Linked DNA regions of Nothobranchius furzeri. The protein of the gene in region 1 interacts with the protein of each later gene in a pairwise test. Links are inferred from orthologs where the notes say so. Each region holds a gene or a part of one and is shown in the gene's direction. Other genes may lie near its edges.

Evidence for each region. The genes of interacting proteins can lie anywhere in the genome.
Region 2: the proteins of chd3 (region 1) and ptn interact in a two-hybrid assay, tested with the Homo sapiens proteins (2 studies listed by BioGRID and IntAct). The link is inferred for Nothobranchius furzeri from reciprocal best matches to the Homo sapiens genes CHD3 and PTN.

Annotation. Positions count from the first base shown.
Region 1 is NC_091742.1:58,678,468-58,685,068, reverse strand, and holds the end of chd3 (chromodomain-helicase-DNA-binding protein 3), read left to right. Parts: intron 1-2,738; coding exon 2,739-3,001; 3' UTR 3,002-3,157; downstream 3,158-6,601.
Region 2 is NC_091741.1:42,130,127-42,138,046, reverse strand, and holds part of ptn (pleiotrophin), read left to right. Parts: intron 1-5,190; coding exon 5,191-5,352; intron 5,353-7,920.

The DNA of each region.
Region 1 (6,601 bases):
TGTTTTCTGATCAGAAAGCCGCTGAATGCAAGCATTTTTAAGCATTTTTTCTGTTTTTTGAAGAGTCACGGAATACTGAGCTCTGTGAACACGTAAAATACCAAAAGAAAGAGTAGACTCACTTCTTACATCAGGAAGAATCAGCGTGTTTCTAGCTTTTTCCGTTCTTTCAGAATCCGTTGTTGAAGTGTGAGCTGCAGAAGCTTTTCCGGTTTGTGCCTCGCTTTAGGCATCGTGGCCTCCCAAAACGATCCCCTAATTCATGAATTGTCAGCTTCATGATCACATGACATGTGACACACACAGATGAAAATCAACTTTAGAGCCACAATGTTTACTCTCAAGGTGCGCAAGCTCGTTTCTAGGCCCGCCCTTGGATTGACGACTTTAGCAGTCAATGGAAGTGAATGAGTTAAAGGTCTTCACTGAGAAACCATGTGATACTTTTCTTTTTGAAGTACATTCAGTCGTTCTGTGTTGCATAATTTTGCTTAATGTGAAATTCTTCAACCCCTATCACCCGCATTAACTGCAGAAACTAAACAGAGCAAAAAAATTGGGTCAATAAAAGCCAGTCTCTTCTATGTCATGGAAAATTTGCATTCATGACCCCACCCACCTTAGCTTACAACCGTGGGAAAGTGAGAGTAGAGCGCATCTCAGCCAGCAAAAGCTAGCTACCTATTAGCAACTCCACAACATGGCGGAACACATTTGAGCATGTGTTATTTTTGGAGATAACACATCAATGTTGGCGTTTTACTCAAGACAGAAGTGCTGTACTGTTAGCCAATCAGATGCAACACGTTTGCATTTAATGAGTAGGACTGCAAACCTCACAGATATCGTATACGTAGACACCCCATGGCTATAGTACCAGTGGGCCGCCATCTTGGATGGGTCTCCTGTCGTCCTCAGTGCATTCTTTTCAACTGAGGAAGGTGTTTAACCAACTAAAAAACGCATAGCATTATGCTTTTTCAAAAAATCTGACATGATAGTTAAATTATGAATATTTTTACACAAAATAACTAAAAATATAAAATCCCAGCAGGTAGGCCAGAAAAGTCAACAGTAACCCCACGTGATCTGTTTTTAATAGTACACCGGTTGCTGCTACTGTAGGGTGCACAACAAACAGGCATAGTTGTGTTGACTCCTGTTGAACTTAGAGAGTGAGGAACTCACCCAACATGGCGCGGTTACGCTCTGCAGCGCCCAATGGGTCGTCTACGTATTAATGTCTATGGTAAACCTTGGCGCCCGCCCATTTTTATGAATGACATCTCTTCTCTGATTGGCCAACACTTCCACTGCCTCTGCTACATCCATTCATTCATAGGGAAAAATGTGATGTGTTAACTCCACAAATATAACAAGCCCGGATGTGTTCCGCCATGTTGTGGTGGTTGCTAATGCACGGTTAGCTTCTGCAAACCAAGACACGCTCTGCTTTCTTCTGACTACTAAACCAGTTAAACCTTCTGCGGTTGCAATCCAAGGTGGGCAAGGTTTTCTCTGACCCTATCGCTTTTCCGTCTATCTTCTTTAGACAGCCAATGCAGGAAATAGAGGTAGGACTATTTTCACATTCTGCATTCATGCGAAACCCAAAGTGACTGGTGGCATTCCATAAAGAACAAGTTTTACAAGGTTTCCCAGTGAATGAGAACATTAAAATGTATCCATGTTAGCTTAGAGAAAGACAAAACAAACTGAATTAGTCTTTAGATTTAAGTGTACAGGCATCCGTGTTGTTTTCCGTAAAAGTAAGATGTTCTGTAGTTAAATATCCTCTAAAAATGAACTAAATAAACTAGGTTTTGGCTTTTGTACCACATATTGTTAAAGGAGTTCTCCAAGGAGTTTCCAAAATGTCTCCAAATGTTCTCGAGCGAGAGGCAGGGCCTTGCATTTGTCACTTAAAAAAAATCTAAAATATTTAGCCCAACAATTTTCCTCACAGGTGTTCTCAGTCCAGTTCCTGTGAGAAAGAGCTAGTGACCAAGTTTTCTTACATGACCCAAACTTATAACGACGCATTGTTATTAAATCTGATTCCAGCTGAAATGTCTCAGACCAGTGAGAAACTGGCTTCAGTGTAATGTCCGGGTCAACTTTCTTTGGGTTTGTTGGTGTTGCTCTGAAAAATGTACCTCGTAATGAAAATGCATCCTAGTCACAAGAGAATCACTAGGTTCATTGCTCCCAGGCTTTGATCAATTATGGCTAACTGTGCTTCACACTTCTTATTGCTGAAAAATGACGAAAGTGTCTTCCAACGTTTTACAGGTCAGTTTGTGGCTGTTTGGTTGTTTTTGTTGGCCGAAATTAGCCTCTCCGTGAAGGTATCACATCATCTTCTGATGTAGCATTTTCAGTGAAGTGCAACAATGCACTGAACGCTCCGCAGAAACACTGTCTTGTGTTGGGTATCACAAAATCTGCAGACAAGTTTTGGAAACCCCATTTCTGCCATCAGGAAGTAATGTATCTGCCTTGAAGGAGTCCCACACTTTTTTTAGACAAAGCTTCGTCTTTTAGAGGTGCTTAAATTAAAGTGATGGAGTGAAGCGCATGGGTCTGCAAGCACCTGCCCCCACCAGCTCCGGTAGCTCTATCTCTGACCTCCCTGCAGAGGGACTAAATCTCTACAGGAGCCTGTAAAGTGTCTCATTATCCTGCTGCCTCCACTCTCCCAGCCTCCACTACAGTCTGCCGCTTGTCTGCCCCCACAGAAGCCGCTGCTGGGGCCACCGGGGGAGCTGCAGGTGGAGCCGCCGGGGGCCAGTTCACCGCTGGGGTTTTCCAGAAGACCAAGGAGCATGATGTGGTGCAGCGGCAGCGGGTGGTGGACCTCTGGAAAGACGGCAAGTCAGAGGGGGCCATTGGGCTGGAGCTGAGAATGCCCAAGTCCACGGTGCACAGCATCATTGTAAAGTACCGGCTCAGCAACACGGTGGAGAATCTGCCGCGCAATGGGAGACCAAAGAAACCCTGAAAGAAATCGGGAATGTAGCAAAACTGTAAAAAAGAAGGAATTGGATCGACAAACGAGGCACTTAGACACTCCTGGAATGAGAAGAGCATAAAAGGAGGACAGCTTGATGTGAGAGGGCATGAAATGCCAATCAGTTAAAAGATCCAAAGAAAAAAACTGGAAAAGGTGCTGCCGAAAAGAGGCTCTGAGAAAGAAAACGATACGTTAATGCATTCACGGGTTTTTATAACAAATGCAGCAAAGGAGCACTTTTCTCTCCACAGATTTCTAAGACTTCTTTTGTTTTTTTTCTGTTTCTCCGTCTGAGCCAAAAGACCCCCCCCCCCCCCCCCCCCCCCCCCCCGGATCAATTCTTCATCCTGAGGCTGACTGAACAAGCCTGTCCCCTCGCCCTGACCCCGTACTCCCTCATTCCTCCACACTCCTCCATCTCCACACACGCACACGCTTTTGGATCTCACACACAAAATAAAGCCCTGCAACAAACGTCGTCAATGTGCCGAGAGCAGGGAGACGAAACCCGGAAAGAACAAAGCCGGATCGAGATCATCAGAAAGAAAAAAAAGAAAAGTCTTCCAAATTTAAAGCACTTCTCCCCGTGGACTCTCGCTGTAGCATTCCTAAGCTCAACCAAGCGTAGATGCAAGATGTTAGAAAGTGGTGTGTTGCTTAATTACCAGCAACTCTGCTCTGTTCCAAACTGACAAACTGCCAGTGACGTAATGTATTACAATTAAAACATTTCTTACTGTTGCACCTTTTCCAGGGAGAATTTTCCCTTAAAGGGAGATATCACTCCTCTAGCGTTTACATTTCCTGTTCTTAAACCCCGTCTTCACTGAAGGGAGTATTTATGAGCTCTTCCTCAAAGATGAAGCCTGTAATTTGTCACTGAAAGAGAAAAACGAAATAGAGGAGAGACTCTCTTTGAAGCCATAAGAGGCTTTTTTTTTTTTGTTCCTCGATCGTCTTTATTGTGACAGAGTGATGGATTCCACGCTGTGGAAAATGTCCCCTGATCCCAGAGAAAATAAAACACTCTGGACTGTATCTTTGGTGTTTCCTGCTCGTTGTGTGAGCAGTAGAGCTGTACATCACCATGACATGCTGAGTGAAGAAACGGGACTAAATTATCAGTTTCGCATTCAAGCCTTATGAACGTTTTGGAGCTAAAAGTGAGTGGTATTTCTCTTTGAGTTTGACCGTAAAGGTGTGGCCAGCAATGACAAGATGGTCTGATTGGGTAGGAGTGATGTGTGTGTGTGTGTGTGTGTGTGTGTGTGTGTGTGTGTGTGTGTGTGTGTTTGTATTTTTTTTGTGTCAGTATAGCATTAAAGGGACTATAAGGAAGTTTGACAGCCAAAACATGTATAGAAATAATAAATTTCTTCTTCATACATTCTCCTGCAATGCCCTGGTCCTGTAGAATGAGCCCTAGCATTTTTACTGTTATTGCCTGTTTTTCTGTAAAATCACAGAAAAAGAGAGCTGATCGGGTCGAGCAGGCTGCTTCATGCGCATTCACGCTCAGGCATCGCCCGTAGCATTTGCTATCCGTAGCTTTAGTCTCTGTCGCTGTTCCTAACGCCTAGTGATAAACCTAGCTACATTTCTGAGGTCCCTTAGCTACTTTCTTCTAGATATTTCCTGCAAATTAGCAACAAAATAACCATTTTCGCTTCAAACCGTTCTTTGGTTTGACGTTGTTTCAGGTGTCATCAAGGATATAAATGTACAGTACTTTAAATGTAAATGTACTGTAAATTTACAGTAAGACGCCCAATTTTTTTTGAGACTCACCGATCGGCATTGAATTCACAGATAAAAAAGATGTGGGTTCAACTTTCATTTTGGAACAATTTTTCAAGCAAGGGAAGGGAATGATCTGAGCATGCAGGAGGACTGACTCATCATAAACCTTTGTCGGCTGTGCTGAAGAGAAAGGTACAGAACCAAATAATTTAATTGATTAGCTGTGCGTTCTCCTGTCCTCTGTCCTCCGGGCCACACACACACACATGACTGTCTCGTTAAGGAGTGTGCACGTACAGCATGTGCGCCTCGTGCACGAGCCTACTATTGAAGCTGCCGTTACGCTTTTGGCCTGAGGGGGCAATCGCAAGCTTAAAAATTCAAAAGTCCGTAAAGTCCCTTTAACAATTAAATTTCAAAACAACAGAAAGGTGATAATAAATACATTTCTAGTTTCCATATTTAAAGTTGGGGTTTTATGGACACGTTATAAACAATATCTTACCTGTTAAACTACAACCTCAGTTTGGCTTTACCTCATTTTCAGATTGATAAGCTAATGACTAGTTACAAAGTGTCTTATTTCAATTCCAATGTTAAGAAAATGTATGCAACAGTTTATGCAAATGCGGTTTTATTCCCCTTAATGTAAATTCACGATGTAAAAAAAATGCTACAATAGCTAGCTCCTCGGCTAACCTCTGTAGCAACTAACTACTGATTTAAATGTAAACAACCAGATGATGTCAAATTTATGGTTATGTTACATCTTATGAATCCACTTTTGCATGAACTGTTGTGAAATTTAGGAGATAAGAGTTGTTTTAGGCAGCAGAAACAACACAGCCTATCCATTAGCCCATCAATTCAGCCAGAATTGATGTTTGTTTCTCCAAACTTTTTACAACAGATAAAATATTATTTATCCACAGAACCCACCAGGAATCATCTGAACTAATTTTTTAACCCGTTTAACCAAAATTCAAAAGTCTGAATTTAACAAAAAATTATTACATTGAAAAAAAAAAGAAGATAACATAAATTTTCATATAACTTTGCAGATACCCAATGTCGTGTTTTAGCATTCAGCTAATGTTCCGTCAGGGTTTAGTATCAGTTTCCCACTTTTACTGGTGAATATGCTGAAGCATCAAAACAGACCTAAAAGAACGTAATGTAACATTTAACCAGACCTGCTACCTCGTGAATATCTAAAGCAGTAGTTCCCAAACTTATTTAGCCGCGCACCCCCTTCTATGTCCCGACCATGTCGACGCCCCCCCCCCCCCCCCAGCCCCCACATCAGGGCATGGCTATATATATATATATATATATATATTAGATGTCAAGCTAAACAGACAGGGTTAAAAAAATTCCCCATCACTTTCATTTTTTAAATAGTAATTAATAAACATTCGATACCTTTAACAATTTCCTTTGATTTCATTTTAAATAAATATTTAGAGTGCCCAGGTAGCACATAAACAATGCAATTTAACGGTTTTCTTAAAGTAGGAACGTTTAACCTGTGCAGCCAGAGCGATTTCCTTCCTTCTGTTCTGCGTAAACCTGAACTGATCACCTACTTGTGCGTAATCAAATGTCAATAGGGGACAAGATATAGCCATGATGTTCACTTTTACCTCAGACCGACTTATTGCTGTTTTATGGTGTGGCTGAATCTGCGATCCGCTGCCACGCGGACTGGAACAACAAATGCTGCAGTAACATGAGTTGTAGTCAGGTTCATGAGGAGTCACTGGCTGGAACGGACCCGACTCATCCCAGAAGCTAATATCTTAATTTGACCTTGAATGAAAAATAACCTCTTAAAATTTTTTATCACGG
Region 2 (7,920 bases), on another chromosome or scaffold:
TTTCTCGTCTTTTCTGCTAAAAAAAAATGGTTTGGATGTCACAGCAAAGTCCATCTAGGATTATATCAATGAACTTGTGTATAGAGATAGTTCCCTGTTGTTCAATTTTCAAGCATTGATTTTTCATTTTTGAAAGACTTTTGAGTGGATTCGTACCTGAGAAAATTTGCAAAAAGAACCTCTGCAGTCATGCAACACACTGTGATGTGTCAATAAATGCATTAAATATTATTATGATTATTATTATTATTAAAAGATTATGTAAGATTTCAGGGACATAATTTGTATTTTTCGCACCAATATTTCACTCAAATCAGCTTGAATACTAAAGAAACATTTCTTCCATCCATCCATCCATCCATCCATCCATCCATCCATCCTTTTCCATCCGCTTATCTGTGAAAAAATGTAGTTTTAAAGGGCTGTTACACCCAAAAGTGAAACGCCAACAGGCACATTTTTACTTTTGAGTGGAATTTAAAACACAAATACAAAATTAGGGAAATAAAAATCGACTAAAGACCAAAAGATTAATTAGCCTATAAATCACATAAAAATAAAAATAAATCACACTGAAAGGATGCAGAAAAACAAGGGTTAAAAAGAGTTTACACGCTAGGAAAAAGAATGAAGCACAAAGAACGAAGAAAGGGGCTGAAAGGATAAAGACACACAAGTGGGACAATCAAGATGTAACAATGGCTGTAACAGGACAAGGATGAGTTACAACATGCCCTTATCTCGTCTGGTAATTGGTGCGTCCTCGGTTTCTCCAAGGTGAGAAAAATCGAAGTAACAAGCATCGAACACATGAGCACCTCCGCTCAACGTTGTTCTATTTACTGTGCTGGCTGGGAAAAGTAATGACAGGAACGTGACTCACTCCATTTACTGCTGGTGCCAAAGAGCTCCTTGTTCTGGTCCAGGTGTATTCTAGGAACTGCCATTCCTTTAAAATTACTGTGATCTGTGCACAAGTCTTGCATCATTGCTTATATTTTGCTTCCCAACTGCCAGACGCCCCTGTATTAAGATTCAAAGTGGTGATTATTGGTTTTTCAAGCTTTCTGAAGCTGCCGACGTCCAAAGAAAAACGTTCATAAGGACTTCAGAAAGTCTGGAGAAGAGCTGATTACGACTTTTGAAGTTAGACCAAGAAGGAAAAGTGTAAACAAATTAGAGGTGGATAACGTCACATTGCACCAATTAAATACTGGTACAAAATGAATCCTCCATAGCGCTTTTGTCTCACAGATCAATGGCCAAGTTTGTTCACATAGTTCAAGATTTTATTATACGTGAAAAAGCAAAACTATTGCTCAAAAGCAACTGGTGATAAGAAGATTTGCGTAGAAATAACATTTCATACTTTCAGCTGTTGTGTAGTTATGCCATTCAGTTAAATTCAATTCAAGTTTATTTATAAAGCGCCAAATCACGACAAGAGTCGTCTCACATAATAAACATTCCAATACAGGTCAGTTCATTAAGCCAATCAGAAAAAGGTTTCCTATATAAGGAACCCAGCAGGTTGCATCAAGTCATTGACTAGAAGTGAGGCTTCAAAAGTGACTTAGTGAAAGTCTAAACAACGAGTGTTTAAAATTATAACTGATAGTTCAACGAGAACCAATGTCAAAAGAAATGCTGTAGCTGCTGCCAGTGCCTCATTAAGGTCACCATGGTAACCATGCACTTGTGCGTCTCACTTGCTTAGAGCAAAGTTAATTGGAGACAGGCAGGAAAACAGCTTCAGAAAGAAGATTCAGACAAACGTTGGTGCTTAAAGAGAAGATGTCTTAAAGAAATGATTGAAGACTAGTTTATGAACTTTGATGTGTCTCCATGCAGGAGATGCAGCCCGTTTTGCAATGACAATTTTCAGCTAGAAAATACTTTTGTTCTGGGAAACCCTGGGTGTGTCCTCTCTGCAGTCTGGGGATATTTGAGATGAAACCATGAATCATGAAGCAGTTAGAACATAAAGATATCTATGTTCGTATCTACAACTCATGATACAACAACTGATGTGGAGGGAAGACAGTTTTCCCAAAATAATTTAAGGTAAATAGTAGTTTGTAAACAAAGTAACATGTATTAAAATGATCTTTCAATCATGGAAAGTTACTTAAGTTTTGATTGATGCTTCTACTGTAAAGAAAAGCATACCAGAGCTCTAGAACTCCAAAGAAAGGAGGGATTCTCTCACCTTTCCCCAAAATCCAGATTTTTTAAAGGGAATTTTCAGTTTTCTAAAATGTGATCGCTGTATGATGGAATGCTAGCATAAGTCGAATTTACACTCATCTCCACTGAACTGCAAATGTCAATGTATAATTAACATCTGTGTTTTTTTGCTAGAGTCACTCTTGAACACACTTCCCTCTGCCATGACAAATACTGACTCATTTACATTATTCAAGGCACACCTCAAGTCACCTACTCAAGCAAGCCTATTCCCTTTAGACTCAGGCCTAGTCCACACGTAGCCGGGGTTTTTTGAAAACGAATATCCGCCCCTCCAAAAACTTGCATCCACACCACCTCGTTTAAAAACAAACTCTGTCCACACGTACCCGGATAAATACGTTGTTAAGGACATGCCAGACCTGTAGGTGGCAGTACTTCCCCCGTTCTTAACCTCGTCCTTCGTCTGTGGTCTTCCACAAGGAGCAGTAATTCCGCTTGCAAAAACAAACAAGCAAAAAACGCTTGGACAATTGATAAAGCGAGCGCAGCTCTGAGGGCATCCATGATGCCGGCTAGTGTAAACACAGGTCGCACACGTGATGTCAGCATTTTTTGTCGCGGAAAGTGACGTTGCGGACCTTAAAACTCCGGTTTTGTCCGTCCACACGCAGACACCCAAAACGGAGAAAACGCAGATCTTCACTTTGGCCGGAGTTTTTAAAAAGATCCGTTTTCATGTGAAAAAACTCTGTTTTCGTGTGGATGACAGGCCAAAACGTAGAAAAATATCTACGTTTTGGCAGATCCCCGGCTACGTGTGGACAGGGCCTAAGATCTTAAAATGTTTGGATTTTTATGTATCCTATTTGCTCTTATTGCTCTACCAACCTCTGTGTTGTTTGTAATGATTGTATCCCTGTTTTTTTTACTTGAAGTTGTCCTTGGTTTTGAGAAAAGTGCCCTCGAATTAAAGGGGCATTATGGAAGTTTGACAGCCAAAACATGTATAGAAATAATAAATGTCTTCTTCTTACATACTCCTGCAATGCCCAGGTCCTGTAGAATGAGCCCTGGCATTTTTACTGTGATCGCCTGTTTTTCTGTGAAATCACAGAAAAAGAGAGATGCTCGGGTCGAGCAGGCTGCTTCATGCGTGTTCATGCTCAGGCATAGCCCGTAGCATTTGCTATCAGTAGCTTTAGCAGCAGAGAGAGAGGTAGTGCCACTTTGTCAATGTTTTTATTTGAGACTCTCCGAACGGCATTGAATTCACAGATAAAAAAGATGTGGGTTCAACTTTCATTTTGGAACAATTTTTCAAGCAAGGGAAGGGAATGATCTGAGCATGCAGGAGGACTGACCCATCTTAAACCTTTGTCGGCTGTGCTGAAGAGAAAGCTACAGAACCAAATTATTTAATTAATTAGCTGCGCGTTCTCCTGTCCTCCCCCCCCCCCCCCCCCCCCCCCCCCCCCCACACACACACACACAATGGACTGTCTCAGCTGTTATTTTCGTTAAGGAGTGTGCACGTACAGCATGCGTGCCTCGTGCACGAGCCTACTATTGAAGCTGCTGTTACACTTTTGGCCTGAGGGGGCAATCACAAGCATAAAAATTCAAAAATCCGTTAAGTCCCTTAAAGTGTATTATTATTATTATTATTATTATTATTATTATTATTATTATTATTAGAGTTGTGGGGAGGGGAGTACAGGGATTGGCCTGGCATATGCCAGTCTTGGAATCTGATTGGCCACCCCAGGAGCCACCTGACTGAGCTCACTGAAGTGGCTCATTAACCACCACAGCAGCTGCAAGAAGAAGAAGAAGAAGAAGAAACAATGTGGCGTTCATGAAATCACTTAAATGAAAGAACTGAATAATTTTGCCCCCCCCCCCCCCCCACACACACACACACACACACACACACACACACAAACAAAAAAGCATGACCATAGGTGCCACCATGCATAAACAAGTGCCCCACCAGGGGCCCCGTATGGAAAGGCTTGGGCACGCCACTGTTAGCCGGACCAAAAACAGAGAAAACATTTGTAACTGAATGACTGCAGAACAGTACTAATGGTGCTTTATTGCATTGTTACTCCTGATAAATCTACTTTCAAATACTCAGCAGTGTCTTACAACCTTTAATATATTTCTTCACGTCACCTCAAAGAAGGCATTAGTTTCCTGACAAAACCTCAATGAGCGGGGAGCTCTCTATCTCTCCCAGACATAAATTACGCCGGGCTTTTTAAAGTTGGTTGCTCAGGAGGTCCCTGTGGGATTCCTGCAACAATGGCCCTGTCACTCCCTCTCTGCGCTCTCCTTCCCTCGGTGTCCTCACCTCTCCTCCTCGCCTCTGATGAGCACTCTGGGATCTTGGCAGCGGTGACACGAGCTTTTATGTGAGAGGGAGCTGACGAATGAGTGTCACAGCCTCGAGGGAGCACAGCTGGACTGACGCCAGAAAATAAAGGAGAAAATACGCAAACACACATGCTCTCTAAAGTCACGTCTATAGCGTGCACCAGCTTCTGCATCCCTTTTGACTGTGTGGATGTGCAACAAGAATATGTGCTTTCATTTTACTGATCAGCAGCTGAAGATTGGATCTGCCTTTTTCAAGATGGAGAAACTAGTTTTCCCAATTGCATTCATCAGTTGGCGCATGTCGTCATGTAAGGAACATCAGATCAAAACTGTAAGGTGCCATCTGTTTCTACAGGGAAAAACATCCTTTGTTGCAGAGATAAGCTTCTTATGAAGTCGCTACATGGAGGTATCAGCCAATTGCTCATCAAAGAGCCATTAAAGGTCTATGACTCACAAATCCCTTAGCTCAGAGCGCTCCTTACAGTCAGTCACTGCAGTTAAAACAAATATAGAATCAGCCTTGTGTCGTTTTACAAGCTTTTCTGTCAGTTCTGTCCTTTTTCAGTGCTTCACTAAACCAAGCCATCTGAATTCTGCTTTTCTTTAATTTTTCTTTAGGGGAGTGCAAGTATGACTTCCAGGCCTGGGGGGAGTGTGATCTGGCGACAGGCAAGAAGAACAGGACGGGGGTTCTGAAGCGAGCACTGATGGACGCGACCTGCGCCGCCACCGTCACGGCAACCAAGCCATGTGGGAAAATCCTAAAGACCAAGCTGCAAGGTGAGAAGAATAAATCGTGGTTTGATAAACCCAAACCCCTCGCTGCACACTTTGAGCTCATCTGCAGCCTCATGGACTCGCTGAAGCCATGCTGATGAATCACAGTGTCTGCAAAACCGTGGCACCAGGGTCTGAAAAGATAATTGAGGTGTACTGCTCAGCATTGATACACTTTTAAATAATATACTTAATCAAATGTGACTTGGACATTGCTTGGTGTCTGACTGTACCTGCGGAACCTCCTGCACTGATTTTGTTTTCTTCATCTGCACTGAGGAGGTGTGTCTAATCAACTCTGCTGCCATTGGCTGAATGTGAGCAGGCAGTACAAACAGTCACCACATCATTCTGGAGCAGAAATGACTTTGTGCTCAGACCAAACAGTCTCATGAGTAAGAATTTATCACATAGGAGCAATCATCAAGTTTCAAGAAAAACACACTCATCATACAGAAAATAACAGAAAAAAAATCACTCCTTCATCTTCTAAAACTCTTCATCCTCAGCAGGGTAGTAGTGTCTAACTCCAGCAGTCAGCGGGTGAGAGATGTGGTACACCTTGGACGAGTTTCCAGTCCATCGCGGAGACAAACAACCAGTCACACACTCACACCAAGGGACAAGGAGTGCCCAATCCTGGTAGCCTGGCAAGGCATCCTATATATGTGAAAATAGAGTCCGGCCATGACCCATAAACAGAGCAAAGTCATGGGACAAAATCTAGGGTTGTCTTTCAAACTGTCTCCACATGCCATTGGACAATGAATAATGTGACGTACTCAACACTATGGATGTAAGTCTACGGGTCAGTCTACCACAGACTGTCAATGGAGATGCAAATACCTCCTGTATTGTGTCAGGCAGCACTGAGACATCTACAATTGGTCCAGAATTTGGCAGCCATATTCCAGACAGGGATGAGGAAATCAGCACACATTACTCCTGTGCTGGCTTCATTACACTGGCTCCCTGTAGGTTTTCGGGCTAGGATGAAATTTCTGTGCTATGTCTTCCGGTTTCTTCATGGGAACCCTAATGGAGTGTGACTAAATCGAAACGCAGAGCAAAATCATTTTGCTTCGCCTCCTGTCTGTCTAGATTTCTAGGCTACAATCCTGGTCCTAGAAGCCCACTGTCCAGCATGCTTTAGTTATTTCTGTGCTCCAGTGTATCTGACTCTATAGTTGAATCACCTCTTCAGCAGATCACAAGGTTCTGCAGAAGTCTGTTAATCACCTGCTGGTTAAAATCAGGTGTGTTGGAGCAGAAACACAACTAAAACATGAAGGATAGTGGCCCCTCCAAGAGGCAGGGATCGGTTTTTTTCACCGTTGGGAGGAAAGTGGAACACCTGGACGAAACCCATGTATAGAGGGGAAAAACATGCTCTCCATGGAGAAAAGCTGCAGCTGGGATTTGACCTTCTGACCTTCTTGCTACAAGGCAACAGTGCTTCCAACCACATTGCCACACAGCCCAGACAAAAATATTCATCATCTATCAGTGAAAAGGACCTCAGATAAGAAAAAAGGTTAAGTAAAAAGTTGCATTAAAATATCATCAGGAAATGTGAAAACAGTTCCAACTGATCCTGTTGCCTCCAAATTATGAGGTTATGTTCCTCTTAAAGATGCTCGAAGTTTGACTGGTTTTCCTCAATCATTGAGATTGTTGTGTTTCAACACTCATCACCCCTGAGGTCATTTAGGGTTCGGGGTCATCTCTCTCTCTCTCTCTCGTGTACACCCAATGGCACCCCCAATTGGTGGCCAGTGGGTGGCAATGGCCACCCCTAGAAAGTTGCTGGCCACCTCTATCAAAATATTCTGACTACACCATGTAGTAGATTTGAGGTGTTTCTCAATGCCAAGGAACCTTGTCTTGATGTTTTCGTTTATTGAGATCCTCATAAGCTTCTGCCTAAATGCAGATGCTAGTCTTCCTGGGGTCTCCTACATTTTCATACAATGTTTACATGATAAGCTACATAAGATGTCTTGGTCCTGCCCCGGTTGCCTAGGAGATACTCATCAAGAACCGCCAAGACGTGTTCCAATGTTCATGTTCTACCGAGGCGTGTGTTCTTCGTTCATTAGCCGTTTAGCTAGCTGAGCAAGGGTACATGGGAGGTGTCTTGTAGCCTAGCCTGATCCCAGAATACACTGAGGTATTTTCAAAAAGATGGCGGATCAGAAGCCGGCAGCTACTTCGGGAGCTAATTTCAAGTATAAATGTCAGTCAACTAATTTAAAATCTTTATTTATTTTTTTTAGATCCAAAGAAGCTAGCTATTGTTGGTTAGTTGCTTAGTAGATGCAGCTTTGGTGGCTAGCGGACAGTAACTCGCTTACATGTTTAATTTAATAAACATATACACTATTTAAAAAGTTAAATGCTCGTTATACGTTTACATTGAAACATATAAGTATAAAATATAATAGTTATCTCACGTGTCACGTAACGTTACATGACCTCCGTGGAAGCCGCGGTCACGTGATGCAAGTCTGATTCATTGAACCATTTTCTTTGACCAAGGAAGGACAGCATCCTCGTAAGCAAGGCACCTGG